Linked DNA regions of Macaca fascicularis. The protein of the gene in region 1 interacts with the protein of each later gene in a pairwise test. Links are inferred from orthologs where the notes say so. Each region holds a gene or a part of one and is shown on either strand. Other genes may lie near its edges.

Evidence for each region.
Region 2: the proteins of GRB7 (region 1) and LAX1 interact in binary tests that used the Homo sapiens proteins (3 or more experiments, as listed by UniProt). The two-hybrid records come from large-scale screens. The link is inferred for Macaca fascicularis from reciprocal best matches to the Homo sapiens genes GRB7 and LAX1.
Region 3: the proteins of GRB7 (region 1) and KCTD6 interact in binary tests that used the Homo sapiens proteins (3 or more experiments, as listed by UniProt). The two-hybrid records come from large-scale screens. The link is inferred for Macaca fascicularis from reciprocal best matches to the Homo sapiens genes GRB7 and KCTD6.

Annotation. Positions count from the first base shown.
Region 1 is NC_088390.1:60,791,302-60,802,169, reverse strand, and holds the start of GRB7 (growth factor receptor-bound protein 7), read right to left. Parts: upstream 6,527-10,868; 5' UTR 6,507-6,526; intron 4,642-6,506; 5' UTR 4,462-4,641; exon of another isoform or gene 4,313-4,461; intron 1,789-4,312; exon of another isoform or gene 1,423-1,788; intron 1,302-1,422; exon of another isoform or gene 849-1,301; intron 670-848; exon of another isoform or gene 319-669; intron 1-318. Other genes in the region: MIEN1 (migration and invasion enhancer 1), read left to right, coding at 8,584-8,672, 8,786-8,883, 9,302-9,378, 9,465-9,548. UniProt on the Homo sapiens protein: Adapter protein that interacts with the cytoplasmic domain of numerous receptor kinases and modulates down-stream signaling. Promotes activation of down-stream protein kinases, including STAT3, AKT1, MAPK1 and/or MAPK3. Promotes activation of HRAS.
Region 2 is NC_088375.1:61,585,738-61,596,772, reverse strand, and holds the start of LAX1 (lymphocyte transmembrane adapter 1), read right to left. Parts: upstream 6,153-11,035; 5' UTR 6,000-6,152; coding exon of another isoform or gene 5,959-5,999; exon of another isoform or gene 5,826-5,958; 5' UTR 5,777-5,825; coding exon 5,688-5,776; intron 1-5,687. UniProt on the Homo sapiens protein: Negatively regulates TCR (T-cell antigen receptor)-mediated signaling in T-cells and BCR (B-cell antigen receptor)-mediated signaling in B-cells.
Region 3 is NC_088376.1:121,606,602-121,617,001, reverse strand, and holds the end of KCTD6 (BTB/POZ domain-containing protein KCTD6), read right to left. Parts: exon of another isoform or gene 10,318-10,400; intron 5,696-10,317; 5' UTR 5,653-5,695; coding exon 5,626-5,652; intron 3,125-5,625; coding exon 2,438-3,124; 3' UTR 1,721-2,437; downstream 1-1,720. UniProt on the Homo sapiens protein: Probable substrate-specific adapter of a BCR (BTB-CUL3-RBX1) E3 ubiquitin-protein ligase complex mediating the ubiquitination and subsequent proteasomal degradation of target proteins.

The DNA.
Region 1 (10,868 bases):
CGCACACAGCAGGATATCAGGAGAGAGCAGAGTCCAAGACCGGCGGACCAAAAGGGAGCATTCCTGGTGGGCAGTGAGGCTGGAGCGGGGCGGCGAGGGGGGGTTCCACCTTGCCGGCAGGTGCATTCCCTGTCCTCAATCTGCCAGGGAGACCCAGACCGGGTACCTGGGTCTCTCCTTAGCCTCATCAAGCAGAGGAAACCATCTGCCATCCCCTACCCCACTCTCCCCAGGCCCCACCGCACTGCAGAGCCACTCACCCACCCCTCTAGCCTTCCTGGCCACTTCATGCTGAAGCCAGGAGGGACCCCGGCTCACCCGGCCTCCACTTTCCCACCCGAGGGCCGGAGGCGATGTTGCTGAGCAGGGCATACAGTCTGGAGAGATGGAGCCTCAACAATTTAGAGGATCCCTCTCCTTCACCGTCCTCCAAAGTGGAGGGGGCCCTCCCCACATCTCCCCGCAGCCCGCGGAGACGTCTGTCTTAGAGACTTGGGGAAACCCAAACTGGGGTAAACTGGGCGAGCCAGGGAGTGAGGGCGGCTCTCCCAGGGTGTGCGGGGAGGGGCCAGTTTCAGCGGGAAAGCCAAGTCGGAGGAGAGAATCAGGTCTTCCTTCCCATTCTCGCTGCTGGCTTCGGGGAGGTGTACCGGGAGGGAACAAGGAGGGCTGGAAACCAGGATGGGGACGAAAGAGGGCGGGTGGGGAGGAGGGGGCGGGGTGGGAGATGGGAGGAAAAGAGAAAAGTGGGAGGCCGAGCAACCCAGCAGGAGACCCAGCCTTTCCCTACCGGCCCCCAGACCGGCCGTGCCTGCCCCCAAAGGATGAATGCCCGCTTGGGTTCTTACCTGAACCCCGAACATCAGGACACCCGGCTGGGACCACGTCTTCAGGGAGGGAGACGCCAGGCCCTTAAGTACCTGTCCCCCTCCAGCCCCCGCCCCGGGCCTGACATCACCGAGCGGGGGAGGGGGAGAGCCAGGTGGCTCCAATCCGCCCACCTGGGCCGACGGCCAGTTCGGCCGGAGACGGGCACAGCCTGGGGCCCTGGTGCGGCTGGGGGTTGCCTGGCAGACTGTTGTCTGAGACCGATCTCTGTCCCCTTACCTGGAGGAGCCCCAGCAGGAGTAGCAGGACACCCGTTCCGAAGTCTGGCTCCGTCTAGGAAACCCCAGATTCCTGGATTTTATTTCAGATCCACTCCCGCTTCTCTACAGGTGGTAGGAGGGTGTCCCGACTTCGGACAGAGAAGTCAGGGCCGGGGGAGCCCTGTGTGTCCAGATTCCAAGCCCAAGGAAACTAAAATTATCTTGGGCAGATGGGGGCGTGTCCAGGGGAGGCGCCTGGGAGGAGGAAGCCTGGGAGGAGGGTGGGGACTCCCTGACACTCTACGCCAACTGGGATTGTTTTTGCCCTTCCTAGCCTGGCAGCAGGTGCCAAGAGAGGGTGCAGGTGCCTAGGAAGAGGCGGGGAAGACAGCCGAACAGACAGCACCAACAGCGAAGATCAAGAGTCCCGACCACCTGGGAGGGCGGGGGGAGGGTCTGAGGGCTGCAAGGTAAAGGGAACCACCGGTCCACTCCTCCCAAACATCCTCCCTGAACCTGGTCTGTTCATTGGCCAAGCCAGGGGGCACTTCTGCAGCTCTGGATCCCACCCCATGGAGCAAAGAGCACCCTGCCAAGGAGGGACGCCAGCCACGGGGGTGTCCAGCAACATGGCCTGCCCGTCGATCTGCAGGCACCCATACCATGGTGGCTGTGCCCTGGCCCCTCAGAGGCACCCAGGGTAAGCCCCTCTCCCGCCCCCCACCTTCTGAGCAAAGTCTAGAGTCTTGGCTTCCCCTTTAAAATCGAGGGGCTTAGGCTGGGTGGCACAGTGGGAGAAGCCATGGTGACCCAGAGAAAGCTCTGGCCTGGGCCCCTGGAGATTCCTCTTAGAGGGATCACTTTATTTTTTTGAGACAGAGTCCTGCTCTGTCACCCAAGCTGGAGTGCAGTGGCGCCATCTCGGCTTACTGCAAACTCCGCCTCCTGGGTTCAAAAGATTCTCCTGCCTCGGCCTCCCGAGTAGCTGGGATTACAGGCCACACACCCAGCTAATTTTTGTATTTTTAGTAAATCGGGGTTTCTCCACGTTGGCCACGTTGGTCTCGAACTCCTGACCTCGTGTAATCTGCCCACCTCGGCCTCCCAAAGTGTTAGGATTACAGGTGTGTGCCACCGCACCCGGCCTGAGGGATCGATTTAGTTCTCTCAGGGATCACTTTAGCTCTCTAGTTCAGCACTGGGCAAACAGGGTACTTGGGAGAAGGGTTGGGAGGCAGAAATCAAAGGCTGTGGCCACCACCCAGCTTGATGCGGGTGACAGGAAAACAAACAATCCTTAGGGTGATAAGAGGTCCACCATGGGGGGGCACAGAGGAGTGACTCCTGCCTCAATTTTCTCCAGAGTTTTCCTAGGAAAACCGGTATGAACGTGCCCAGCAAAGAAGTGGGGGAGGAGGCAAGGTCTCTTGGGTGATGGAGCAGCTTGTGCAAAGGCAGAGTAGACAATTCACTCATTAATTTATTCAACTCTCTGTTCAGTACCTACCATATGCCAGCCCCATGTTTGGTGCTGGGGATACTGGGGTAAGCAACAAAAACAGACCCCACCCTATCCTCACACAGCCAATCAGGAAGATTGATGTTAATCAAAGAATCACACAAATAAGAAATGACAGGAGACAACTATGCTGGGAGAATGACTCACATAGGGAGTCAGGAAAGACTTCTCTGTGGAGGTGACAGCTGAGCAGAGGAGAAGGTGGCTGACATGGGAAGGGGGTTGGAATCAGTGGATGGGAACTGGGGAAGGAGGCCACCTTCCCAAGTGAGGAAACCACTGCCAGAGCTCTGGAGAGGAGGGGATGCAGCATGCGGAGACAGAGAGTGGGGTTGGAGGAGAAAGGAGGAAGCAGAGGCCACGTGGGTGAACCTGGACAGGTGTGGAAGGTGTGGAGAGAGGCGGCTATGCTTCTGCAAATGTGGCCTCCAGACCTCCCTAACCTTGTGTGGAAAACAGATCCTTGGGATCCTCTCCAGCAATTGAATCTCAGTCTGTGGGGCTAAGACACAGGAAGGTGTGGTATTGACAAGCCCTCAGGTGGCTGTTCCGCAAGCCAGGTTTGAGAGCCATCCATCCTGTTTGTCCAGATGGGCAGGAGTAGCGGTCAAAGACCAGACCCTTCAAGTTGTATTTAGACTTAAGTAGAAGCACAGAGGAGAGGGCACATTTACATTTTAGAAAGATCATCCTGGATGGTGAAGGATGGGATGGAAACGAAGCCACGGTCAGAGGGCTGAGTGCTGTAGGAATCAACTTATATGGCTTTCTGGAGGGGGTGGAACTGTGTGAACAAAAAGCAGGTCTGGGGTTGGGGAGGAGGGAGAGGGGTCCACAGTAGGGGGCACAGGGACTTGTGGGAGGTGATGGGACCATTCTGTATCTTGGTTGTGGGGTTGGATGCACAGCTGTGTGTGTTTCTTAGGACTCATAGAAAGGTACACTCAAGGCCGGGCGCGGTGGCTCACACCTGTAATCCCAAGACTTTGGGAGGATGAAGTGGGCGGATCATGAGGTCAGGAGTTCAAGACCAGCCTGCCCGACATGGCAAAACCCTTTCTCTACTAAAAATACAAAAATTAGCCAGGCGTGGTGGCATGCACCTAAAATCCCAGCTACTCAGGAGGCTGAGGCAGGAGAATCTCTTGAACTCAGGAGACAGAGGTTGCAGTGTGCTGAGTGTGAGCCATTGCGCTCCAGGCTGGGCAACAAGAGTGAGACTATCTCAAAAAAAAGAGAGAAAAAAAGAAAGGTACACTCAAGAGGATGAATTTCACTGTGTATAAGTTGTATCTGAATTTTAAAACAACAACAACAAGGCCGGGCATGGTGGCTCACGCCTGTAATCCCAACACTTTGAGAGGCCGAGGCAGGTGGATCACGAGGTCAGGAGTTTGAGACTAGCCTGGCCAACATGGTGAAACCCCGTCTCTGCTAAAAATATAAAAATTAGCTGGGCGTGGTGGTGTGCACCTGTAATTCCAGCTACTCGGGAGGCTGAAGCAGGAGAATTGCTTGAACCCGGGAGGCAGAGGTTGCAAGGAGCCAAGATGGTGCCACTGCACTCCAGCTGGGGCGACAGAGCAAGACTCCATCTCGGGGGAAAAATAGTAATACTAATAAATAAGAATGAGTTTATAGGTCAATGGAACAGAATCCAGAGTCCAAGTAGAAACCCTTTTACATTTCTCAATTGATTTTACAGGGTGCCAAGACAATTTGATGGAGGAAAGGATAGGCTTTTCAATAAATGGTACTGTGATCAATTGAATAGCCACATGCCAAAAGGTGAATTTAGATCTTTTGCTCACAGAATGCATTAAAAAAAAAAAAAACTCGATATAGATCATATACCTGAATGTGAGAGCTAAAACCATAAAACTTCTAGAAGAAACCATGGGAGATAGTCTTCGTGGAGGCCGGGCGCGGTGGCTCACATCTGTAATCCCAGCACTTTGGGAGGCCGAGGTGGATGGATCACCTGAAGCGGGAGTTCAAGACCAGCCTGGCCAACATGGAGAAACCCCATCTCTACTAAAAAAAAAAAAAAAAATTAGCCAGGCATGGTGGCGCATACCTGTAATCCCAGCTACTGAGGAGTCTGAGGCAGGGGAATCGCTTAAACCAAGGAGGCAGAGGCTGTGGTGAGCCAAGATGGTGCCATTGCACTCCAGCCTGGGCAAGAAGAGCAAAATTCCATCTCAAAAAAAAAAAAAAAGAAGAAGAGGCCAGGCATGGTGGCTCATACCTGTAATCCCAGCACTCTGGGAGGCCGAGGCAGGTTAATTGCTTGAGCCCAGGAGTTTGAGACCAGCCGAGACAACCTGGCAAGACCTCATCTCTACAAAAAATATAAAATTTATCCAGGCATGGTGGTGCGGGCCTATAGTCCTGGCTACTTGGTGGGGCTGAGGTGTGACAATCGCTTGAGCCTAAGAAGTTGAGGCTGCAGTGAGCTGTGATTGTGCTACTGCGCTCCAGTCTGGGTCACAGAGCAAGACACTGTCTCAAAAAAAGAAAGAAAAAATGAAGCCAGGTGAAGTGGCTCATGCCTGTGATCCCAGCACTTTGGGAGGCAGAGGCAGGCAGATCACTTGAGGCCAGAGATCCAGACCAGCCTGGCCAATATAGCAAAAACAGCCTGACCATTGCTACTAAAAATACAGAAAATTATCTGGGCCATGGTGGCACATGCCTGTAATCCCAGCTACTTGGGAGGCTGAGGCACAAGAATTGCTTGAACCTGGGAAGTGGAGGTTGCAGTGAGCCGAGATTGTGCCACTGCACTCCAGCCTGGGTGACACAGTGAGACCCTGTCTCAAAAAAAGAAAGAAAGAAAAAAAAAAAAGAAAAAAGAAAAAAAATTAGCCAAAGACTGGGAGAAAATAGTTGCAAATCATATACAACTATATATGGTTGTATATATGGTTGTATATATTTTGGTTGATATCCAAAATATATAAAGAATTTTTACAAATCAATAATAAAGAGACAAACAATCCTAATAAAAATGGGCAAAAGACTTGAATAGATATTTCTTCAAATATGTATATGAATGACTAATAACTACATGAAAGATACACAACAGTCATTAGATAAATGAAAATTAAAACCACAATTATATATCATGTCATGTCCACTAGGATGGTTATAATCAAAGAGACAGAAAACAAGTATTGGTGAGGATATGGAGCGACGAATCCTCATATATTGCTGGTGGGAAAACTTTGAAAAACAGTCTAGCCGTTTCTTAAAAAGTTAAACGCTAGCCTGGGCAAAATGGCAAAACCTTGTCTCTACAAAAAATACAAAAAAATTAGCTGGGCATGCTGGTGCGTGTCTGTCGTCCCAGCTATTCAGGAGGCTGAGGCAAGAGAATAGCTTGAGTTCAGCAGGTTGAGGCTGCAGTGAGCAGTGTTTGCACTGCTGTATTCCAGCCTGGGCAACAGAGCGAGACTCTGTTTCAAAAAAAAAGTTAATCATAAACTTAACACATGACCCAGCAGTTCTACTCTTAGGAATCTACCCAAGAGAAATGAAAACACACACCTATGCAAAGACACCAAAACATCTGTGGCAGCATTCTTCAAAATAGACAAAAAACACTGGAACCTTAAATATCCATCAACTGGTGAATTAAGAAACAAAATGTGGCAAAACCACACGTGGAATACGACTCAGCAATGAAAAGGAACAAACTACTCTAGACGCTACAGCATGAATGCATCTCAAAAAACATACTGAGTGAAAGAAGCCGTAAGCAAAAGACCACATAGCATATTATTCTGTTTATATGAAACATCCAGAAAAGGCAAAGTTAGAGACAGAAAGCAGATCAGTGGTTGCATAGGACTGGAATTGGGAGCTGAATTGACCAGAAACAGGTGGGAAGGACTTACCAGGTTGACGGAAACATTCTGTAACTGGATTGTGGTGATGGTTAGGCAACTGTACAAATGACAGCATTTTCTTTCTTTTCTTTTTTTTTTTTTTTTAACACAGTCTCACTCTGTCGTCCAGTCGTCCAGGCTGGAGTGCAGTGGTATCTCAGCTCACTGAAACCTCCACCTCCCAGGTTCAAGCGATTCTCCTGCCTCAACCTCTGGAGTAGCTGGGATTACAGGTGTGCGCCACCACACCCAGCTAATTTTTGTATTTTTAGTAGAGACAGGGTTTTGCTGAGTTGGCCAGGCTGGTCTTGAACTCCTGGCCTCAAGTGATCCGCCCACCTTGACCTCCCAAAATGCTGGGATTACAGGTGTGAGCCACCATGCCCTGACTGTTTATATATATATATATAAAAGCCCAGGTGCAGCGGTAATCCCAGCACTTTCAGAGGCCGAGGTGGACAGATCACAAGGTCAGGAGTTTGAGACCAGCCTGGTCAACATGGTGAAACCCCATCTCCACTAAAAATAGAAAAATTAGCCAGCGGGGTGGCTGGCGCCTGTAATCCCAGCTGCTCAGGAGGCTGAGACAGGAGACTCACTTAGGCCGGGAGGTAGAGGTTGCAGTGAGCTGAGATCGCGCCATTGCACTCCAACCTGGGCAACAGAGAAAGACTCCGATTCAAAAAAAAAAAAAAAAAATACAAAACTTAGCTGGGTGTGGTGGCTAGCACCTGTAATCTCAGCTACTAGGGAGGCTGAGGCAGGAGAATCGCTTGAACCCAGGAGGCGGAGGTTGCAGTGAGCCGAGATGGCACCATTGCACTCAAGTTTGGGTGACAGAGCAGGACTCCGTCTCAAAAAAAAAAAAAAAAAAGAAAAAGAAAAAGAAAAATAGCCTAAAGAGACACTAGAGTGAGTGGCGTGCTAGGATACCATAGCGGTACTGCAGGCAGGGAAAAGGCAGCGAGGACCTGAGCAGCCTCCATTTCCAGAGTTGCAAAATGGGAATAATGACACCAGTCCCCCAGTGAGAGGCTGGATAAGAAGGGGATGTGCAGGAACTGTTGGGGGCACACAGCCTGAAGAGTGTCTACGGTTCTCCAGTGCAGGCAAGAGGCAGTTACAAAAGACTGGAAAAAGCAGTTTAGAGCTTTGGGATCAGAAACACTTGGGTATGTAACTATAGGGCGGTTCCAAATGGCATCAGCGCCGGGCGTGGTGCCTCACGCCTGTAATCCCAGCACTTTGGGAGGCCAAGGCGGGCAGATCATTTGAGGTCAGGAGTTCGAGACCAGCCTGGCCAACATGGTGAAACCCTGTCTCTCCTAAAACAAACAAACGAACAAAAAACTGGGCCGGGCGCGGTGACTCATGTCTGTAATTCCAGCACTTTAAGCAGGCCGAGGAGGGTGGATCACCTGAGGTCAAGAGTTCGAGACCAGCCTGACTAACATGGTGAAACCCTGTCTCTACTAAGAACACAAAATTAGCCGGGTGCGGTGGCACGCGCCTGTAGTCCCAACTACTTGGGAGGCTGAGGCAGAAGAATCGTTTGAACTCCGGAGGCGGAGGTTGCAGTGAGCCGAGATCGCGCCATTGCACTCCAGCCTGGGCAACAAGAGTGAAAAAAAACAACAAATGCCATCAGCATGTGAGCGAGAAAATGTCAACTATTTCATACATCAGCCACACCCACTCCCATCTCCAGGATGGTTGCCCCACCGCTTTCTCTTTCTTTTGTAAACTGAAAAGCGCTCTGCAGTCTAAGATAGTCCATTAGAGTAAATGAAGCCGTGAAGTCCGGCGGACATCGGGAGTGGGGGAAGCCCGGCATTCCGGGAGACCGGGCCGGGGAAGGAGGGTCTGTACCGGTTCTCCCAGACTCTGCCCGGGGCGCGAGCTCCGGAGCTGCCGTACGAGGTCAAAACGTAGCAATGGCGGAGGCCTACAGGGGGCGCCCGGACGCCACGCTCGGCCCCGCCCCAACGCCACGCTCGGCCCCGCCACGCTCCAGAGGCCCCGCCCCGTCACGTGCCCGCTGAGCGCGTCACACCCGGAAGCAGGGGCCCGAGCGGAGCAGGCAGCTATGAGCGGGGAGCCGGGGCAGACGTCCGTAGCGTCCCCTCCCGAGGAGGTGGAGCCGGGGAGTGGGGTCCGCATCATGGTGGAGTACTGGTGAGCGGTCCCGGCTGGAGGACCCCTACCCTGGTCCCGTGGGCCGGACGGAGGTGGGTCCACGGGAGGCCCCACCCCCGAGTCCCCAGCCCAGCCCCATTTCTTCTCCCCAGTGAACCCTGCGGCTTCGAGGCGACCTACCTGGAGCTGGCCAGTGCTGTGAAGGAGCAGTATCCGGGCATCGAGATCGAGTCGCGCTTGGGGGGCACAGGTGAGGCTCATGGAACACCTGCTGAGTCAGTCTGTACTCTAAATCCCAGCTCTCCCGCTTTCTAGTTCTGACATTGGCTGCTTTATGTAAAGTGCCTGCAGTGCCTGGCACATGGTAAAATGTCCAGCCAACATGAGTTCCCTTCCATATGTCAGGGGGTTCACAGAGGCCTGCGGGGGAAAAAACCTATTAGACTGCAATCGTGTAGGGTTGGAGGGGAGGGAGTCTTTCATTGTTGCCAGGGGCACACAGGCGGGGCCTCCCTCAGGTTCCCTGGAGTTGACCCAGGGTTGGGGAATGGCTTAAGGAGCTACAAATGGGTCTCCAGTGGGAGTGGTGGGGGACCCCTTTGAAGGAACTCCTGATTTCTGCCTATGTTCTCAGTGTACCATTTATTTATCTGTTGATTTCTTACCAGGTGCCTTTGAGATAGAGATAAATGGACAGCTGGTGTTCTCCAAGCTGGAGAATGGGGGCTTTCCCTATGAGAAAGATGTGAGTATTTGCAGTGTTGGGAGGACCTCTGGGTCATCCTACCCCAACAGTGCATCATCCTGTCATTCCACATCTCTGTCCTCTAGCTCATTGAGGCCATCCGAAGAGCCAGTAAAGGAGAACCCCTAGAAAAGATCACCAACAGCCGTCCTCCCTGCGTCATCCTGTGACTGCACAGGATTCTGGGTTCCTGCTCTGTTCTGGGGTCCAAGCCTTGGTCTCCCTTTGGTCCTGCTGGGAGCTCCCCCTGCCTCTTTCCCTTACTTAGCTCCTTAGCAAAGAGACCCTGGCCTCCACTTTGCCCTTTTGGGTACGAGGAAGGAATAAGATTCCATGGCCTTGGGGGCAGGAGAGAGACACTCTCCACGGACACTTCCCCAGCCACCTTATACCCCCTTCCCAGGATAAGTGCCCACAAAAGCCTGGTCCACTCTTCACCTCGGTAATACCTGTCTGATGCCACAGTAGATTTTATTTATTTTCCCCAACCCAGGGCAATGTCAGCCATTGGCAGTAAAGTGGCACTACAAACACTAATGCTAACTAGTGTGTGTTTTTATATGTCCAATCTGGGAATGTGGGGGGCACAGAAGTCCGGCCGGCCCAGCCTTTGTACCGCCAGGGTGGCTGTGCTGGCTTGGGTGGGCTTTCTGGACAGCTACTCCTTAGGTCAGTGAGCTCCTCTGGCATAGCCAAGGCAAGGAAAATGAGTCCCACAGTAGACCCTGCCTCGTCTTTCGCCCACTCAACCGCCACTCTCCTGACTCACAAGGAGGAAATAACCCCATTCTGGTGAGTGGCCTTAGGAATTCGTTCTAAGAAAGAATGATCTGGTTGTTAAAGGGCTCTCGGATCCGAATCCAGCTTCCCGATCCCCCCCAACCCTGAAGCTAGAGAACTGGATGTCAGGCTCCTCATCCAAGCTTTCTGAAGATTCCTGGTCACTCCCTCCAGGAAAAGAGGAGTTGAGTGTAAGGTGAGCAGGAAGGGATGGTGCAGAGCTACCCCCAGACATAGGCCGGTGCCTAACTGTTCTCCAAAATATATTTGCAAATGGAGAAAGTGGGTGTGGAGAAGGACCCCCCAGATCTGCCTCCCCATACAACACCCATTCTCCCCCTGGGTCTTTATTTCATCTTTAAAAAACAAAACAAAGTAAAAACTAAACAGAAAAGCACTCTGTACAAGGCCTGGATACTGACACCATTGCTGCTCCTTCCTCATGGGGGGTAGTACTAGGTCTCAGGGACAATCTCTGAATGGGTCGCTCTTGTTCTTAGACACTCCCTTAGGGCCACTTCCCCTCTCAGGCCAGCTTCCCTAAGGCTTTCAGTATGCAGGATCTGGAAGGAAAGGGCCAGGCTGGGCTGTGGCATCCACTGGACCCTAGAGTCTCATTGGGCAGGGCCCCAGAATCCACCAAGACTCCCCAGTGCTGTTCCTCTTCCAACTAGGCTGGACCCCTTCCAGCCATCTGGGAACTCAAGCAG
Region 2 (11,035 bases), on another chromosome or scaffold:
CTTGCAATTCCCTGGCAGGGCTGGCGTCACTGCTCAGTTTTGCTTGGGTGTTGAAATGCGTCCAGATGATTACAACTCCAGATGGCTATGCCTAATGCAATAGAAAGCTGCCAACTGAAGTTACAGCAGGACTCAGGAACTGACGTGCTACCCCCAATTATTAGAAACCAGGGCATTTAACAGGGAAGGTTTTTCTCCCCTTGAGTTTTAGGGTTATTTATACAACTTTCTTTCTTTCTTTCTTTCTTTCTTTCTTTCTTTCTTTCTTTCTTTCTTTCTTTCTTTCTTTCTTTCTTTCAGACAGAGTCTCGCTCTGTTGCTCAGGCTGGAGTGCAGTGGCATGATCTCGGCTCACTGCAACCTCTGCCTCCCAGGTTCAAGCGATTCTCCTGCCTCCGTCTCCTGAGTAGCCAGGACTATAGACACCCGCCACCATGCCAGGCTAATTTTTTTTTTTTTTTTTTTTTTTGTATTTTTAGTAGAGATAGGATTTCACCATGTTAGCCAGGCTGGTCTTGAACTCCTGACATCAAATGATCTGCCCGCCTCAGGCTCCCAAAGTGCTGGGTACAGGCGTGAGCCACCGCACCCAGCCTATCCAAGTTTCTAGTGGGCATTTCTAACTAGCTGCCTAACAGACATCTCAAACCAAAACATCTCCCCACATAAACCTGCTACTCCCCACGTGTTTCCCATCATCTAGTGACTTAGTCAAAAACCTTGGAGCCATTCTTGACTTGGAGCTCTTTTTCTTTCATGCCCCACTTCCAGTCAACCAATAGATTCTGTCTGCATTACCCTGGGCATTTACCCCAAACCCAACCACCTCTTGCTCCTCTGTTGCCACCACTTGGGTCTAAGCCACTGTGTTTCACAGGAATCTTTGTAATAACGTTCCTGATTGGTTTCCTTGCTTTAACTCTTGGCCCCAACATACTATCTTCACGCAAAAACCAGTGTGATAATTCTAAACAGTAAGTCAGATCACATCCCTCCACTGCTCGTCACTCTCCGTGGCTTCGAGTAACTTAGAATAAAGTCTATAGTCCTTCCTCAGTGACGACTTTATGGCACAATATGATCTGGCCTCTGCCTACCTCTGACCTTATTTCCTACCACGTTCCCTCTGACTTTGACTACCAGGATCCCTTGCCCACGCAAAGCACAGTTCTGTGTCAGACCTGCCACTCCCTCTCCCAGGAACCTTCCTCTCCCAGCTGTCTGCATGACTGAGTCCCTCTCATTCAGGTCTCTTCTGAAATGTCAAATGTCATCTCCTCAGACAGGTCTTCTATGGCCACACCCTATTACTTGCAGTCCCCTTGCTGTGCTCCATTTTTTCTTCATATCACTGATGACTGATTGATGTATCTTTTTTTTGAGATGGAATTTCGCTTTTGTTTCCCAGACTGGAGTGCAGTGGCACAATCTCGGCTCACCGCAACCTTCCCCTCCCAGGTTCAAGCAATTCTTCTGCCTCAGCCTCCCGAGCAGCTGGGACTACAGGTGTGCACCACCACGCCTGGCTACTTTTTGTATTTTTAGTAGAGATGGGGTTTCATCATATTGGTCAGGCTGGTCTCGAACTCCTGACCTCAGGTGATCTGCCTGCCTCGGCCTCCCAAAGTGCTGAGATTACAGGCATGAGCCACCACGCCCAGCCTGATTGATTGATACTATACATTCATATGCTTATCTGTTTATCATTTTTTTTTATTTAAAAAAAACAAAAAAACCAAACAACAACAACAACAACAACATTGAGACAGGGTCTCCATATGTTGCCCAGGCTGGGTTTTGAACTCCTGGGCTCAACTGATCCTCCTGCCTTGGCCTACCAAAGTGCTTGGATTATAGGCATGAGCCACCACATTCAGCTCTGTTCTTTATTTGACTCTCCCCTTTGACTATAAGCTTCCAGTAGTTATGGACTTGTTTATCCTGTTCACCTAGTGCCTTAAATAGTGCTTGGTACTTTGTAGGGCCCTGATGAATATTTGTTAAATGAATGAATGACTGAATTAATAAATAAATGAACTAACATAGAAATAGTTTTAAGTGTAGTACAGCCGTTATGGAAAACACTATGGAGGTTCTTCAAAAATTAAAAATAGAACTACCAAGGCAGGGCGTGGTGGCTCACATCTGTAATCCCAGCACTTTGGGAGGCCGAGGCAGGCAGATCACCTGAGGTCAGGAGTTTGAGACCAGCCTGGCCGACATGGTAAAACCCTGTCTCTACTGAAAATACAGAAAAAAATTAGCTGGGCGTGGCAGCACACGCATGTTTTCCCAGCTACTCAGGACGCTGAGACAGGAGAATCTCTTGAACCCGGGAGGCGGAGGTGCAGTGAGCCGAGATTGTGCCATTGCACTCCAGCCTGGGCGACAGAGTGAGACTTTCTCTCAAAAAAAGAAAAGAACTACCATACGAGCCATATAATCCAATAATCTCACCACTGGGTATATATCTGAAGGAAATGAAATCATATTTGAAAGACATGTCTACACTCCCATGTTCATTGCAGCATTATTCACAATAGTCAAAATATGGAATTAACCTAAGTGTCCATCAATGGATGAATGGATGAAAAAATGTGGTATATATACTCAATGGAATACTAGTCAGCCTTTAAGAAAGAAGGGAATCCTAGGCCAGGCGCGGTGGCTCAAGCCTGTAATCCCAGCACTTTGGGAGGCCGAGACGGGTGGATCACGAGGTCAGGAGATCGAGACCATCCTGGCTAACACGGTGAAACCCCGTCTCTACTAAAAAATACAAAAAAAACTAGCTGGGCGAGGTGGCGGGAGCCTGTAGTCCCAGCTACTCGGGAGGCTGAGGCAGGAGAATGGCGTGAACCCGGGAGGTGGAGCTTGCAGTGAGCTGAGATCCGGCCACTGCACTCCAGCTGGGCGACAGAGCAAGACTCCGTCTCAAAAAAAAAAAAAAAAAAAGAAAGAAGGGAATCCTGTCATTTTCGACCACATGAGTGAACCTAGAGGTCATTATGTTAAATGAAATAAACCAGGGAACAAAAAGACAAAACCAGGTGATCTCACTCATGTGGAGTGGAAAGCTAAACTCATAGAAGTGGAGAGTAGAGGCCGGGCACAGTGGCTCACACCTGTAATCCCAGCACTTTGGGAGGCCAAGGCAGGCAGATCACCTGAGGTCGGAGTTCGAGACCAGCCTGACCAACATGGAGAAACCCCGACTCTACTGAAAATACAAAATTAGCCAGGTGTGGTGACTCATGCCTGTAAGCCCAGCTACTGGGGAGGCTGAGGCAGGAGAATCGCTTGAACCTGGGAGGTGGAGGTTGCAGTGAGCCAAGACTGTGCCATTGCACTCTAGCCTGGGCAACAAGAGTGAAACTTTGTCTCAAAAAAAAAGGTGGAGAGTAGAATGGTGGTTATCAGGGAGGGGTTGCAGAGAGGTTGGTCAAAGGATACAAAATATCAGTTAGAGAGAAAGAATAAATTAAAGGGATCTGTTGTATAACATGATGCCTATAGTCAATAAAAATGTATTGATGGACCAGACGCGGTGGCTCATGCCTGTAATCCCAGCACTTTGGGAGGCCAAGATGGGTGGATTACCTGAGGTAGGGAGTTCGAGACCAGCCTGACCAACATGGAGAAACCCTGTCTCTACCAAAAATACAAAAAAGTTAGCCGGGGGTGGTGGTGCATGCCTGTAATCCCAGCTACTGGGGAGTCTGAGGCAGGAGAATAGCTTGAACCTGGGAGGCAGAGGTTGCAGTGAGCAGAGATCACACCACTGCACTCCAGCCTGGGCGACAGAGCGAGACTCCGTCTAAAAAAAAAAATAAATAAAAAAACAAAACAAAACAAAAAAAGTGTTGATGACTATAGTTAATAAAAATGTGTCATATTCTTGAAAATTGCTGAGAAATTTTAAGTATTCTCACCACAAAAGAAAATTGTGAAGTAATGTGTATCTTAATTAGTTTAATGTAGCTATTGTACAATGTGTACATATTTCAAAACAACAGGCTATCATGATAAATATATACAATTTTGATTTGCCAATTAGAAATAAATAAAAATAGGCCGGGCGCGGTGGCTCAAGCCTGTAATCCCAGCACTTTGGGAGGCCGAGGCGGGTGGATCACGAGGTCAGGAGATCGAGACCATCCTGGCTAACACGGTGAAACCCCGTCTCTACTAAAAATACAAAAAGAAATTAGCCGGGCATGGTGGCGGGCGCCTGTAGTCCCAGCTACTCGGGAGGCTGAGGCAGGAGAATGGCGTGAACCCGGGAGGCGGAGCTTGCAGTGAGCCGAGATCGCGCCACTGCACTCCAGTCTGGGCGACAGAGCGAGACTCCGTCTCAAAAAAAAAAAAAAAAAAAAAGAAATAAATAAAAATAAATGAAGAAATAGTTTTGGAGGGATGCTTCAGGCTTCTGATTTTTGTGAATTCATTGCTCATCGATACTCATGTCTACCTGCAAGTGACATGTGTTTGCCATGGTAATAACATTTATTTTCCCAGACAACTGCAATTTTATTTTATTTTTTGAGACAGAGTTTCGCTTTTGTTGCCCAGGCTGGAGTGCAATGGCATGATGTCGGCTCACTGCTACCTCTTTCCCGGGTTCAAGCAATTCTCCTGCATCAGCCTCCCGAGTAGCTGGGACTATAGGAGCGCGCTAGCACCCCTGGCTAATTTTTGTATTTTTAGTAGGGACGAGGTTTCACCATGTTGGCCAGGCTGGTCTTGAACTCCTGACCTCAGGTGATCTGCCCCAGCCGCCCCCGGCCTCCCAAAGCGCTGGGGTTACAGGAGTGAGCCACCGTACCTGGTCAGCTACCAATGTTTTTAAAGTTTCAACTGTGGGTGGATTTTTAATTTTGTTTGTATGAGATTGAAAGTAGTAGCAGTAATTTATACCCACGATTAGTCCTCTAAGATTTTACATCCTAAAGACATATCTTTATGGCCGGGCGCGGTGGCTCAAGCCTGTAATCCCAGCACTTTGGGAGGCCGAGACGGGCAGATCACGAGGTCAGGAGATCGAGACCATCTGGCTAACACGGTGAAACCCCGTCTCTACTAAAAAATACAAAAAACTAGCCGGGCGAGGTGGCGGGCGCCTGTAGTCCCAGCTACTCGGGAGGCTGAGACAGGAGAATGGCGTAAACCCGGGAGGCGGAGCTTGCAGTGAGCCGAGATCGCGCCACTGCACTCCAGCCTGGGTGACAGAGCCAGACTCCGTCTCAAAAAAAAAAAAAAAAAAAAAAAGACATATCTTTATTATATTTATCACTACATTTTATTCATGACAAGTTTTTGGATCTCAACACACATCCTTGGAAAACTCAGCCTTTCATTTCTGTCATGGTGACACCTGGGAAAGACTGACAATAGGGTTCAGGGCCTCTGAGAGGTGAGAAATCCAACCAGTCTAAGCAACTAGCTTTAAGGACCAGTGTTACCACAGTTTTTCCTCTACCAAATATCTTCTTTCTTTCCTCAATACCTTCCTTTCCCCCTAGCACCCCTGAGCAAATGCCTCCAAGCCTAGAGTTTGGTGGTCTTAGTAGACCCGAGCCTGGGTATTGAGAGGAGACAGCACTGCTGTGTAAGAAGCTCCTAAGTGTGGACTAGGACCTTCTGCCTAAATCAGGGCAGGGTGGAGCTCACCACCCTGAGTCACTCACCTGTCCAGGCTGCGGGGAGTCACATGCAGAGTGCTGGACTCCAAGGTCCTTCCTCTGATTGTCGAAAGGGTTGGAGTGACACCATCCATTGTATCAGGAACCTTTGAGATGCTCTCTGGTTTCAGCTTCTAAGTTTCTCTTAATCATAATCAGTTAGCCAGCATGTCTGCCACTTCTCCCCACCCCCACAACAAACTGCCTATCTTGTGTCTACCTCTGAAATGTCAGGCCAAGTTGACCCAACATACAAAAGCAACAGGTTTGGTTCTACCTGGACGTGGCTAATGCCCGCTGCAGGAGGTGCAATCTCATCCGGACGTGGTGCTTCCAAGTGAGGTGGCTCAGGGAGAATCTATGGCCTCTGCCTTCTGGTGGAAATGTGAGGGGCACAGAGGGGGAAACTGCCAAGAGGCTCAGGAGAGGCTCCGTGAGAAGCTCATCTTCCTTCAACACCCAAAGCAGAGTGAAAAGAGCAAACCACTTTGCCAGAATGGAAACAGAGAGTCAGTCACCGGAAACGACACCACCAATGTGCTAATGAAGCACAGGGCACAGGAAACGCTGCTCAGCTCTTAATCTGCTAGAAGAAAACATATCTTTAACCCACCGTTCCCTGGGTTTGCCAGGTGCTCTGTGGTCTGTGATGAGTGTGATTAAAAATGGGGCAGGGTAGTAGAGAACTTGTGATTCTTCACCCTGGGTTTCTGAGACACTTAGAGTTTTACAAGTCTTCAGTTTTACAGTGTTTTCTAAGCAAGTTAAGGAGCACTGGAGGTTGCCTTTTAGAGTCAAATGCAGATCTCCGGGACCCTCTTCTGATTCAGTGGGTGGAGGGTGCAGAGGGGGCAGGCTTTGGATGTCAATGCTTTGCAGGTGAATTTGATGGAGCTTTCAGGTGATTTTGATGGAGCTGGTCTGTTTCATGTTTTGGGAACCTCTTCTCTGGGCACTACCTTAAGAATAGAGGTTATGCTGGCTTAGCAGGACCCCTGCTCCCCAAAGGTGACCTTTCACAGCTCCTGGCTGCTGGTGATCTCCTGTTCTCAGGGCTCTTCTGAAGATCAGTTGCAGTCTTACTTGTCACACATCTGTCTCAGAAGCTGAACAAGTTCATCCCTAAGAGCTACCCAAAGTGTTCCAAACTTTGAAGATCATTAAAAATTTGTTGCTAACTCCCCTCCCTTCTTGAGCCTACTAATCTCCAGAAACACTCTTTGCATCTTGGGAGAGTCCAAAGAGAAGGGGCCACTAAGACTGTTGTGAGGATGTGAAGAAGAACTTCTCTGATTGCACTTTCCACGGTGAAATGAATTCCCAGATGAATGGAAGGGCAGACCAGCAGTACCCTCCTAGAACCATGCCTCCCTCCCATCTCTTCCCAGTGGACATTGAGGTCCTCAGCTTTCCTGAGGTGACAGCCCCTGGCTTGTCTGCATCCAGACTCTCACAGAGTCCCCAGGGGCTGCAGACTGGCCGTGGCTGGCTTTCCACAGAGCTTCATCATCCAGGTCCTGGACCCCTTCCCTCCTAGGAGCTTCACCTGGTAGGAAGCAGAAATAGCTCAGAGGCAGCTGGTGCTGGAGCTGGAACCTGGGTCTCTGCCCACTTCTCCTTTGGATCAGGTCTGAGTAGGAACTAGGACTACTCACAAGATCCATCATGCTGGTGGCAGGGACTGGGGTCCTGGGCCATTGGAACCAATAGGGACTGTGTGTGAATCAGGACCTTGGAAGGCAGTACAAGGAAAGGACACATGGAACCAAACCTCAGAACCATGAATGCTACTCAAAAAAAAAAAAAAAAAATTCTTTCTTTTTGAAAGAACTTTTCCATTGCATGTGATCATTTCAAGGCCTCACTTATCTTATCTACCCAATCTGCTGCAGTTAGACCAATCTTCCCTCTGATTGTCCGATTCTCTCCTGCCCCCACATCTGAGGGGAATCACCACCTCAGAGGCAGCTGCACACGTTACCTGCCCCAGGCTGCAGGTGAGTGCCAGGTTTCCAGGCCCCGGCTGTGCCCCTCATCCTGCTCTCCTTTCCTTCCCCATGGGGCAAAATCCAATCAAACTGACAAACTAAAACAAAAAGTCGGTAGCTGAAATGATTCATCATAATAGCGGGGAAAAAACAAAACACTGGGAAATGGGGTGTTTTGTTTGTTTGTTTGTTTGTTTGTTTTTTTGAGGTGGAGTTTTGCTCTTGTTGCCCAGGCTAGAGTGCAATGGCGTGATCTTGACTCACTGCAACCTCTGCCTCCCTGGTTCAAGCGATTCTCCTGTCTCAGCCTCTAGAGTAGCTGGGATTACACGCATGCACCACCACACCCAGCTAATTTTGTATTTTTAGTAGAGACGGGGTTTCTCCATGCTGGTCAGGCTGGTCTCGAACTCCTGACCTTGGGTGATCTGCCCAACTCGGCCTCCCAAAGTGCTGGGATTACAGGCAGGAACCACCGCTCCCGGCTAAGCAGTGTATGTTTTAAATCCGATTGCTCTAGTGGTGTTGATGGTGTTGTTTTTTTCTGAGACAGGGTTTCACTCCTGTTGCCCAGGCTGGAGTGCAGGGGCATGCTCTTGCTCACTACAACCTCCACCTCCCAGGCTCAAGCCATTCTCCTGCCTCAGCCTCCCAAGTAGCTGGGACTACAGGCACACGCCACCATACATGGTTAATTTTTGTATTTTTAGTAGAAATGAGGTTTCAACATGTTAGCCAGGCTGGTCCAAACTACTGGGCTCGAGTGATCTGCCCACCTCGGCCTCCCAAAATTCTGGGATTACAGGTGTGAGCCACTACACCCAGCCTGCTCTAGTGTTTTAACCACTTTTCATGATTTTCTGGGGTCGGATGTTACATATGATTGTTACCAGACCCCAACGCTTACCCAAAGTTAGCCGTTGGGTTACGGGTTTCTGCGTTATAGTCCCTTCAGTGGTTGCCAGAAAGGTGTTACAGGAAAGGGGTCCTGATGCAGACCCCAAGAGAGGGTTCTTGGATCTTGCCCAAGGAAGTATTCAGGGTGAGTCCACAGAGTAAAGTGAAAGTAACTTTATTAGGAAAGTAAAGGAATAAAAGAATGTCTACTCTATAGACAGAGCAGCCTCAAGGGCTACTGGTTGCTCATTTTTACGGTTATTTCTTGATGATATGCTAAACGAGGGCTGGATTATTCGTGCCTCCCCTTTTTAGACCATATAGGGTAACTTCCTGTTGTAGCCATGGCGTTTGTAAACTGTCATGGTGCTAGTGGGAGTGTGGCAGTGAGGATGACCAGAGGTCACTCTCATGGCCATGTTGGTTTTGGTGGGTTTCAGCTGCCTTCTTTACTGCAACCTGTTTTATCAGCAAAGTCTTTATGTCCTATATCTTGTGCCAACCTCCTATCTCATTCTGTGACTTAGAATGCCTTAGCTGTATGGGAATGCAGCCCAATAGGTCTCAGCCTCATTTTACCCAGCCCCTATTCAAGATGGAGTTGCTCTGGTTCACAAGCCTCTGACAGAATTCTAAAGTGTTAAGACTGGTTTTTGGCCAGGCACTGTGGCTCACACCTGTAATCCCTGCAAGTTGGGAGGCTGAGGCAGGTGAATCACCTGAGGTCAGGAGTTTGAGACCAGCCTGACCAACATGGAGAAACCCCATCTCTACTAAAAATACAAAAAATTAGTTGGCCGTGGTGGCACATGACTGTAATCCCAGCTACTCAGGAGGCTGAAGTAGAAGAATTGCTTGAACCAGGGAGGCAGAGGTTGCAGTGAGCTGAGGTCATGCCATTGCACTCCAGCCTGGGCAACAAGAACAAAACTCTGCTCAAAAAAAAAAAAAAAATATATATATATATATATATGTGTGTGTATATATAAAATATATATTATATATATTTTTGAGGGGAGTTTTATATATATTATATATATATTTTATATATATATATTTTTTTCTTCTTTTTGAGAAGGTGTCTTGCTGTCTCGCCCAAGCTAGAGTGCAGTGGCGTGATCTTGGCTCACTGTAACTTCTGCCTCCCAGGTTCAAGTGATTCTTCTGCCTCAGCCTCCCGAGTAGCTGGGACTACGGGCGTGCACCACCACATTCGGCTAATTTTTGTATTTTTTTTTAGTAGAGACGGGGTTTTACCACATTGACCAGGCTGGTCTCCAACTCCTGACCTTGTCATACACCTGCCTCGACCTCCCAAAGTGTTGGGATTACAGGTGTGAGCTACGCGCCCGGCCTATTTATTTACTTTTTAAGACAGAGTCTTGCTCTTGTCGCCCAGGCCAGAGTGCAATGGCACAATCTTGGCTCACTGCAACCTCCATCTCCTGGGTTCAAGTGATTCTCCTGCCTCAACCTCCTGAGTAGCTGGGATTACAAGTACTCACCACCACGCCTGGCTAAATTTTTTATTTTTAGTAGAGACGGGGTTTTGCCATGTTGGCCAGGCTAGTCTCAAACTCCTGACCTCGTGATCCACCTGCCTTGGCCTCCCAGCTTGCTGGAATTACAGGCGTGAGCCACCGTGCCTGGCCTAGACTGTTATTTTTGTATGTGTTTTTTTTTTTGTTTTTTGTTTTTTTTGCGATGGAGTCTTGCTCTGTCAATCAGGCTGGAGTGCAATGGCGCGATCTCAGTTCACTGCAATCTCCATCTCCCAGATTCAAGTGATTCTCCTGCCTCAGCCTCCTAAGTAGCTGGGATTACAGTCAAGTGCCACCACACTCAGTTAATTTTGTATTTTTAGTAGAGATGGAGTTTCACCATGTTTGCCAGGCTGGTCTCAAACTCCCAACCTCAGGTGATCCGCCTGCTTCAGCCTCCCAAAGTGCTGGGATTACAGGTGTGAGCCACCGTGCCCGGCCCTAAACTGGTTTTATTTATTTATTTGTTTGAGACAGAGTCTCGTTGTGTCGCCCAGGCTAGAATGCTGTGGCATGATCTAGAATCCCTGCAAACTCCACTTTCCGGATTCCAGCGATTCTTCTTCTTCAGTCTCCTAAGTAGCTGGGATTACAGGCCATGCCACCATGCCCGGCTAATTTTTGTATTTTTTGTAGAGACAGGGTTTCGCCTTGTTGGCTAGGCTAGTCTTCAACTCCTGAGCTCAAGTGATCCAGCTGCCTAGGCCTCCCAAAGTGCTGGAATTACAGGCATGAGCCACAGTACTTGGCTTAAGATTGGTTTTAAATAGAAATAATTTATGTATCTAAGTCCACAAAGTCCCTTGGTGGGGATGGGGGAACTACATGTTATTTTCATGATGTTGCTAACACCAGAAACTTTGCAGAAGTTCTCTTTGTGAAGGCAGAAAGCACATGTTAAAAGCATCAACCTGAGTTCAAGTTCTAA
Region 3 (10,400 bases), on another chromosome or scaffold:
CCTGGGAGGCAGAGGTTGCCGTGAGCCAAGATCACGCCATTGCACTCCAGCCTGGGTGACAAGAGTGAGACTCTGTCTCAAAAATAAATAAATAAAAATCATTTAAAAATAAAATAAAAATAAAAACTGGGAACTAGCATTATTCCTATTTCCACACCTGTTTTCAACCCAAATCATTTTATTTCATATTGACCTCAGCTAGCACAACAACACGTTACTAACTGGTTGGGCCTTTTTTTTTTTTTAAGGTAACTATCAAATCAATTTTAAATATAAGATAATTTTCCAAAATGATAAATTTGTACTCGTATATCGATTTACTGAAACCACAGCAACCTGTCAATAACATCAAAGGATCTTAGTTTGAAGACGGTGAAAATAGGGTAATTATAGGTTTCTGGATGTTGGTCATTTGTCAAATTTTAAAATAAATTTTCAGAGACATGGGCAAAAATAGACATAAGGAAGTGCTGTCATCTTCTTTGCAGAGAGAGAACCTTAGAATATTCTCACAGAGAGAAAGAGAAAAGGAGGGGCCTGCTTGCCCCAGGGCACACAGCCTCAGAGTTCCACTCTTCCCTTAGAAAATAGGGAATAAATTACATGACTTCCTTTTATACGGTGGTCTAACAAAGTAGGAAGTCTCAGTATAATTAAAATAATCCTTCCTATGAGTTACTTTCAAGAAATAGAAGCAAATGAACTACGCAAAATAAGACTACAGGGAAATAAATAAAAGTACGTGTATTTCTCCAACTGTTCTAGGTCCTTCATTCACTGCAGTTTGTTTCTTCTCTTCAGAAATAAACTTAACTGGCCGGGCGCGGTGGCTCAAGCCTGTAATCCCAGCACTTTAGGAGGCCGAGGCGGGCAGATCACAAGGTCAGGAGATCGAGACCATCCTGGCTAACACTGTGAAACCCCGTCTCTACTAAAAATGCAAAAAATTAGCCGGGCGAGGCGGCGGGCGCCTGTAGTCCCAGCTACTCGGGAGGCTGAGGCAGGAGAATGGCGTGAACCCGGGAGGCGGAGCTTGCAGTGAGCCGAGATCGCGCCACTGCACTCCAGCCTGGGCGACTAAGCGAGGCTCTGTCTCAAAAAAAAAAAAAAAAAAAAATACAAAAAACTAGCCGGGCGAGGTGGCGGGCGCCTGTAGTCCCAGCTACTGGGGAGGCTGAGGCAGGAGAATTGCGTGAACCCGGGAGGCGGAGCCTGCAGTGAGCTGAGATCCGGCCACTGCACTCCAGCCTGGGCGGCAGAGCGAGACTCCGTCTCAAAAAAAAAAAAAAAAAAAAAAAAAGAAATAAACAAACTTAACTTTGTTAACAAAATACATTTGTGGATCACCATAAAACATGAGCATAAAGGGCTACAGTCATTTTGTTCCTGTGCTTAGCAGAAAACTGAAGTAATGGTCATAGAACCGTGGGCAATTAAAGAAAAATCTGTAATCTTCAACATAAATTCTTTTGAAAAATATGAAAAACTGTATGTTCACTGTTCAAATATGCACCCTTTTAGTCAAAATTAATAATTCCATCCATCCTTGCTTCAATGACACAACAGTTCTTATAAACTGCAACCTAAGATCCCACTGTGTCCTCTCAAATTAAATACAAATATGCTATAGGCAGTAAACAATGGGACATAAACAATGCATATTTTAGACAAGGAATATGATTTTTCTCCCCTTAATAATAATCAATAAGTACAAACTTAATTTTCATATTTCACTTTTTATTAGTTTTTTTTTTTTTTTTTCTGGTAGACAGTACACTTGAGAATTATACTGCACCAGGCATAAAGAGTAAGATTTCTACCACGGGGACATTTTGTATTCAGAATTCAATATAAATATTTCTAGTCAGACATTTCCATGGCTACAGATATTTGGTTCCTTGATTTATATGCATAGAAAGAAACAGTTGTCATAACTGTAAAAAGCAGTACTTAATAAGTACTTTTAAATGATTGGAACAGTTTTCCTTTAATATTACAATACTACTTATTTATTGGTTTGGAAACTAGGTCACCCTACATGATGTTTTGATTTTTCTCAAAGGCATCATGAGTACTCTGCTTATTCTTTCATTCTTGTATTTTTAGCCTTCTAGTTGAGTTAGGGACCATTTTATCAGAAATCATTCTAGCACTGTAATAAGAAAAGCTCTGTTAAGGGTAGATTATATACCATAATGATTTTCAGACTTCTTTTTATAAAAAAGGTATCTGGAGACTCTGAACAGGCACATGCATACTCAGGAGGAAGGGAACAAAACACGGAGGAGTGTGCCAAAGCACAAAACTTCCTTCTGGTCCTCACTGCCTTCAAATAAATACAAACATTTAAAAGAAAAAAAAATCTCACACTGTGATTTAAAAAAAAAAAAAAATCACTATTTTCCGTGTTTCCAGGAACCTGTGGCAGGCTCGGAGATCAGTCGTCTGTCTTCCGGGCTAGCCTACAGAAGGTCCAGTTGTGCTCCACTGTGTTTTCATTGGCCCGCTCACTCATGTGATGCACCCGGGTGTTGCGGATCGTGAAACCTTGTTTTGTAATGTATTCCATCAGGTGGACCCTAAGAGAAACTTCCTGGTGATAATCACAGGGTCCAAAAGTAAAGGAAACCTGGCAGTCTCTGGTGTCCATCATGTGTTTATTCCACTTGGTAAAATAATTTGAGATGCCTTCTAGTAAGGAATGGACCTTGGTGGTGATGGTTAGTTGGGTTATGATGACAGCCACTGGGTTGGAGTACTTAGAAAGCTTCCGAGTACTAGACAGCTCCACAACTTCTTCAAAAGTATCCATGGGATACAAAGGCTTAGGATCATTGAGACACTGAATCAAGGGCTCAATCTGGTAAAAATCTGCTTCTTTCCGAAGCAGATCAAATTCCTTAAAATCCAACGGTAAGGTCAATTCTGAAGTTCTTAAGAAGTTGAGGACATATCGGAAAAGAGGTCCATCTCGATCAATAAAGTAATTGCCTTGAGGGTCTCGAGCTGTGGGGAAGTCCCCCCCAAACATAGCTCCAAGCATGGAATCCGGGTAACGCGTCAGTGTGGTGAGAGACGTTGTATACAAGTGTCCACCTACATTTAACGTGACTGGGTCAGTCATCTGAAATTTTTAAAGAAACAATCAGTCACCTGAAATTTTTAAATACCAACTTTGACAAATTAAGAAAGTAAGTGATACTGAGCAAAGCCCAAGATTCTTTCAGGCTATAATGTATTTAGTAATCCTCTAATGCAAAATGACTTTACTACCAGCAATAAACCCACCCAGATGAAGCGATCTAACATTTGCTTTCAATAGAAAAAAAAACAAGGATAAATCCAATTATGTAAAGACTTACGCTAAGAATCCAGGGCACTGACTTCCAGAGCCACATCATTTCAGGCCCATTATCTACAGAATGTTCAGGTCAGAATATATTGTGAGAAGGGAAAAGCCACGCTAAAATACACTTATTTTTTTCTGATTTTTTTTAAAGGCTTGCATTTTTCTGAACTTAATTTAACATAAGATAGAATTAAAATGATCTGATAATATAGACATTTACTTTCAGCATTTCTTTGGGTTTTTCCCCTTCAAACAAAAGGAATAAACAATGAAATTTGTTTTTAAAATAAAAATTTGGGCTAGGTGCAGTGGCTCATGGCTGTAATCCTAGCACTTTGGGAGGCCGGGGCAGGCGGACTGCCTGAGCTCAGGAGTTCAAGACCAGCCTGGGCCGGGCGCGGTGGCTCAAGCCTGTAATCCCAGCACTTTGGGAGGCCGAGGCGGGCGGATCACAAGGTCAGGAGATCGAGACCACAGTGAAACCCCGTCTCTACTAAAAATACAAAAAATTAGCCGGGCGCGGTGGCGGGCGCCTGTAGTCCTAGCTACTCAGGAGGCTGAGGCAGGAGAATGGCGTGAACCCAGGAGGCGGAGCTTGCAGTGAGCCGAGATCGCGCCACTGCACTCCAGCCTGGGCAACAGCGTGAGACTCCGTCTCAGAAAAAAAAAAAAAAAAAAAAAAAAAAAAAAAAGACCAGCCTGGGCAACATGGCAAAACCCCATCTCTATTAAAAATACAAAAAAAAAAAAAAATTAGCTGAGCATGGTAGTGCCTGAGTGGTCCTAGCTACTTGGGAGGCTGAGGTATGAGAATCACTTGAATCCGGGAGGCGGAGGCTGCAAGTGAGCCAAGATCACGCCACTTCACTTCAGCCTGGGCAACACAGAGAGATTCTGTCTCAAAAATAATTAATTAATTTAATTAAAAACTGTGCAGACTTAATCTTGGTAACTTTTTCATGGAAGTGATACTTTCAAATACTAAGTTAAAATATACAGTTTAGTCAAAAAATCATCACATACCCAAAAGCTAACAGCAGCCATAAAATTTCATAATCTGATAGTGTATTCACTTTTGTAACATTAATGTTGCAATCTGGCCTTTAATTTTGAGAAGCAAGCTTCTCTTAAAAAACATACCTTCAGTTTTAGAAACACTACTTAAGAAAAAAACAGGCCAGGCGTGGTGGCTCACACCTGTAATTCCAGCACTTTAGGATGCCAAGGAGGGTGGATTACTTGAGCCCAGGAGTTGCTGACCAGCCTGGGCAACATGACAAAACCCTGTCTCTACAAAAAATACAAAATATTAGCCACACATGGTGGTGCCCACCTGTAGTCTCAGCTACTTGGGAGGCTGAGGTGGGACAATCACCTGAGCTCGGAAAGTCATGAGCCGAGATCGCGCCACTGCACTCCGGCCTACGCAAAAGAGCAAGACCCTGTCTCAAAACAATAAAAAAAAAAAAAAAAAAGAAAGGAAGAAAGAAAAAAAGAAAAGAAAGAAAGAAAAAAAAAGAAAAAAAGAAAGAGACTTCGGGTACTAGGCAAGTAAAATATACCTTACACCAAAGGAATAGAAAAATAGGGAGACATAAGCACACACAAAAAAAGGAGTAGGAGAAGATGCACTTTCTCAACCATTAATCTCCCAAACCACAATAAAATATCCTCCATATCATTACTCACTAGATCCTTTTGTAGTCACTATTCACGAAGAGTCTTCAGAGCAATATACTTTAAAAAATAAAAAATCACGTTACTTCTCCAGTGATTATAAAAAGTATTTGGAGAATCCATTTTGAGTTTGCTTCCATTAAAACACCAAAGACAGGAGGATCGTTTGAAGTCAGGAGTTCGAGACCAACCTGGCCAACATGGTAAAACCCCATGTCTACTAAAAATACAAAAATTAGCCAGATGTGGTGGTGCACACTGATAATCCCAGCTACTCGGGAGGCTGAGGCAGGAGAATCTCTTGAACCTGGGAGGTGGAGGTTGCAGTGAGCCAAGATCACACCACTGCACTCCAGCCTGGGCAAGAGGGCAAGACTCCACATAAAAAAAATTTAAAAATAAAATAAAACTTTTAAAAACACCACACAAGACAAAAACAACCTCCAAACTACATCTAAACTAAGTAAAAGGGGGCAGAGAGGTTACACAAATTCACAATTTTCTTTTCTTATAAGATATACCTAAAAATACATGTTATCCTTATGTACACACAAAAATAATTCCCCAGCCTTCAAAATGCATCTCCAAGAAGCACTCACCATATAGCCCCAGTCTCCATTATCCATCTGCTCCAGTGATGCGTCTTCAAGAGCCCAGGTTTCAGGGAAACTTCAAGAGGAGAAAAACAGACATATGATAGCATATATTAACTATGAACATAAAGAAGAAAGGTTTTTTTCCACCCAACAGAGGAGGCCAAACACCAGAAAAACTACTCATCCTTGCTCAGCTGAAACCTACTGCAGGGCAAAGATCTGGGGAAGAAAGCATTCCCCTAGGGCCTTCATGTCCTGTATTCTTACCATAGAGAACCCATCTGGAACTAAGAGACTGAAGATTTTCAGAGAAAGAACTATCCGGTACTTAAGAGAAGGAGAAAGAGTCTAGGAAGCAACCCAGTCATTCAAATTCTACCTCTCTTCTTAGAAAATCAATTTTTAGAATTTATATAAGAGAACATTATGATTAACTCTACAACCTTATCCTGGTACAAACCTATAATGGTCCTCACCAAAAAGGTCATTTAAGAAAAAGGGAGAGGCGGGGCGCAGTGGCTCATGCCTGTAATCCCAGCACTTTGAGAGGCCGAGGCAGGCGGATCACCAGGTCAGGAGTTCAAGACCAGCCTGCCCAACATAGCAAAATCCCATCTCTACTAAAAATTCAAAAAGTTAGCCGGGCGTGGTGGCGGGCGCCTGTAATCCTAGCTACTCAGGAGACTGAGGCAGGAGCATCACTTGAACCTGGGAGGCGGAGGTTGCAGTGAACTGAGATTGTGCCACTGCACACCAGCCCCTGCAACAGTGCGAGACTCCATCTCAAAAAAAAAAAAAAAGAAAAAAGGAAAAGGGAGAAGGGGAAAACTTCTTTTCATCAGTGTTTCGGCTGTACAAGCCAGTCACCTGAGTAAAAGCATCAAAAATCATAAACCTCCCAGGACACCAGCATCCCTTTCCCAGAGAAATACATCAGAATGGTATTTATCTCATAATATAAAAAATAATAATGATGATGTTTTTTAATAATGATGTAATTCTCTTTGTACAACAATTAAATAGAAAGCGATTTAAATGCCAAACTGTTAAGAGCACAATTTGGGGCGAAAAGAACCTTACCAATACAGATGAGACTCAATCAGCCAGCACTCATGGAGAGCCAGCCTTAAGACACTGAGAAATGCTCAGATACTAATGATGCCAATGTGAATTTATTTTTATCTACAATTCAAAAGCACTTAAACAAACAGTTTCCCAGCTACTGAACTGCCTTAGTCAGTTCCCTCTCACACACTTCAATCCCAAATCAACCTGCAAAGCAAACTGCAGAGCAAATTTCTAAAGCTCTGGCAAGAGATGGTAAGAAACATGGAATTATTGGTATTCATCCAGGAAAAGCACCAGCTTTTTTACGTGGTCCTTTAACAGATCCACTTTTCCCACTTTTAGAGGAATCTGGCACAGAATTCCCAGAACAAGCCCTGGCTATAGAAGATCACAAAGGCTCTTTCTCAAAAGGTCACTCAGGCATGTAGAGAACATTTGCATAGCACAGCATGGGCTGAAATCAGAGCCTGAAGCATCTATTTCTCTACCTTGCAAATCCTTCAAAGCACACAAACTAAAATGTGGACCAGGCTATGGGGCAGTCAGTGTTTATTCTTTACACTCAGCAGCTGGATAGAGATAGGCCTCCACATGCTATGGGGTGAGAAATGGAACAAATGTCTAATTCAAGACTGTTACGACAGTCTTTCATTCCTCTGGCTTGCTTCACAAATAGTATCCGAGGTAAACAGGACCAAGAAATGGGCTTTGCCAATTTGTCTTGCCAGGATCTGATTCAGTTACTGATAACAACAGATTAGCAACTGAGCAATTTAAAAGGCCACTCATCCAAAAGTGCTGGTAAGATGCTCATCTTTGGCATTTTCCCATCACCCAAAGTATTCATTCCTGACAGCCTCAATAATCATTCATTCAACCAACAATTATTGTGGGTTATCTATGGAGTGGAGGGGATGCCTATGTGCAATGTGGATACACAGAAAGAGGAAAAGAACAATCTTTGCCCTCATGGAGCTTTCCATCTATAATGGAAGGCAACATGCAATGACTGAAGTACAGAACAGAATTCAAAGCGCTATGTAACAGATGGACCAGCAGAGGCCTGCAAGAGGGGAAAAGCAAGATTCCAAATGGGAAAATGGAGGACCTCTGGGAAGAGCCCGCTCAGTTGAATCCTTGAAAGAAAATTTGGACAACCTAAGAAGGGATTCTAGAAAGAAGAAACAATTTAAAAGACAGGGGCATGAAAAACTTCTTCCCCCTACAACATTCCTGATACCAGTAGGCTGAGCATGGATTACTATCCTCATCTTAAAGATGCAAAACAGAGAAACAAGGCAGATTAAGTGACTAGCTGGAGGCACCACAGCTGGGAAGTAACTAGATAAGAACTCGCATGTTCTGACTCTTAGTCTAGATTTTTCCATAAATCCCCTCCTAGGGTAGAAATTGAAAGAACAGAATCCAAGAGACAAGAAATTGAAAAAGATTAACTTTAAACTCTCTATAGCCATCTATTAACCCTATCCACCCAGTAGGGTTTTATTTACAAATTTTACAGTAACTCAGCCTAACTAGTCATAACGGGTTTGTAAAAATTTTCCTGAGGCCCTCCCCCGCCACCAAAAAAAGGCAGGAACCCATTCAACTAGTGTGAATAATGGCTGCTGTCCTCTGTCTGTAGTGACATAAAGAACTCCAATCCATGAATATCCAAATGATTAAATAAGAAACAGAAGATCAAAGACAAGGAAAAAAGCAGACATCAATGTTGCAGCCGTTAACGAAAAGCCTGTCCACTATTAACCCTTTTTTCTTTTTTACTGCTAAATCAAAACAAGATAACTTCTTGAGCAGTTATCTAAAAAAAAAAAAAAAAAAAAAAAATTAGATGCTGTCCCTGAATCTGTTCCACAGCAAAAGCAAAAGTTCCGGTACAAAGATGTAATGAAAGCTCACGCTTAATAATTCAGGAAAGCAATTATAGGAATCTACAGCCCATGTTTCTTAAAAAGCACCCAAAAGGCTTCCTATACTTGTGTATAAGATGCATCAAAATAAATTGAAGCAAAGTTGGCCGGGCGCGGTGGCTCAAGCCTGTAATCCCAGCACTTTGGGAGGCCGAGACGGGCGGATCACAAGGTCAGGAGATCGAGACCATCCTGGCTAACACGGCGAAACCCCGTCTCTACTAAAAACACAAAAAATTAGCCGGGCGAGGTGGCGGCGCCTGTGGTCCCAGCTACTCGGGAGGCTGAGGCAGGAGAATGGCGGGAACCCGGGAGGCGGAGCTTGCAGTGAGCTGAGATCTGGCCACTGCACTCCAGCCTGGGCGACAGAGCGAGACTCCGTCTCAAAAAAAAAAAAAAAAAAAATGAAGCAAAGTCACTATTAGTCACTTCCAATAACAATGACTAAACTGTCTAAAGAAATCAAATTGTTCATTAAAGAGTTCAAAGGGAAAAAACAGTATTGATTAGTTTAAATTTTATCTCTAGCTGCTTCTAAATATCTTCTGTGGAGATACTTAAATACAGCAAGAAACAAACAAACAAAAAAGCACGAAGAATTCCTTGTTATACAATAGCTGGATAATGATCAATTTCTGAATTCTGAACTGATGACCATTAGGAACATCTCTGAAATGATGCAGATGAATGAAATACAATCCCAAAGAATTTCCAGAATAGTTTCAATCTCTTCTACTAAATCATTTTCCAGAGCTACTAACAATTACAAAATGATTCATTTGCTTTTCATCTTCTCTCCCTTCTGGCACAGTCTCCAGTGGAGGGCTTAATGAGAAGTTAAATGACCACAAGACAGGCAGCAGAAGGAAGATCTTGAAATGGGTATCAAATAGGCCGGTTTTACTTGATGAAAGCAAATAAATATCTACTATTTCAGAAAATCTACCAGGAATGGTAACAATGAAAAATGAAAAAAGTTTTCCTTTACAGTGACTTTCCCTACTAAAACTAAAGATGGTTTTGAAAGACAGCAAACGCAACCAAGCACCAACAGCTATAAAGTTCAAAGAAGCCTCTGACCCTGTAAAATCAGTTCACCTGAAAACATGTAACCTTTGATGCAAATAAAATTCTTGTGAAAACAACACTGACCATTCCCCAGAGAATATAAAGCAGTGCTGAAAATTCACCCATGTTTAAGCTTCAAAGGTTATTGTGACTAATGTATAAATTCTGACAGTGTCATGTTAGCAGGTAATTAAGCTTAAGAAAACACATACTGAAGAATTTACAGAAGCCTTAAAAGAAAATATTAATTTTCTAAAGTAGTATATCTGAAGAATACATAATTCAGTAAGTTAATAACTTAAAAAAGTAACCTAAGAACCCTTAAATGCCATTCTCCCTGTCACTGCAGAATTGCAATTTCAGGCCTCATGGTTACGATGAACCAACCTAACAATATTCTGGGTTTATCATTCTTGCTATAGATTAAGAATTCTCCAGGGCAAAAGTCCTAATCCTGTATAACTACCTATATGTTGCAATAAAAACCTCCGAACTTCAATGAAAAATAAAAACTTCCAACTACTGACTTCCCAGAGTTTCCAGGCAGCCCTTTAAAATGCGTTTTTAATGAAACCTTCGTGTCTGGTAGTCAGAAAAGACTCAATAAACTCCCTCTCTCTATACTTACCTTCAAAATTGCCTTTTTACTGAGTTTTGCTCTTCTTGAAATGTGGGAGTTTGAAAGTGAAATACTTTTTATAGTAACTAGTT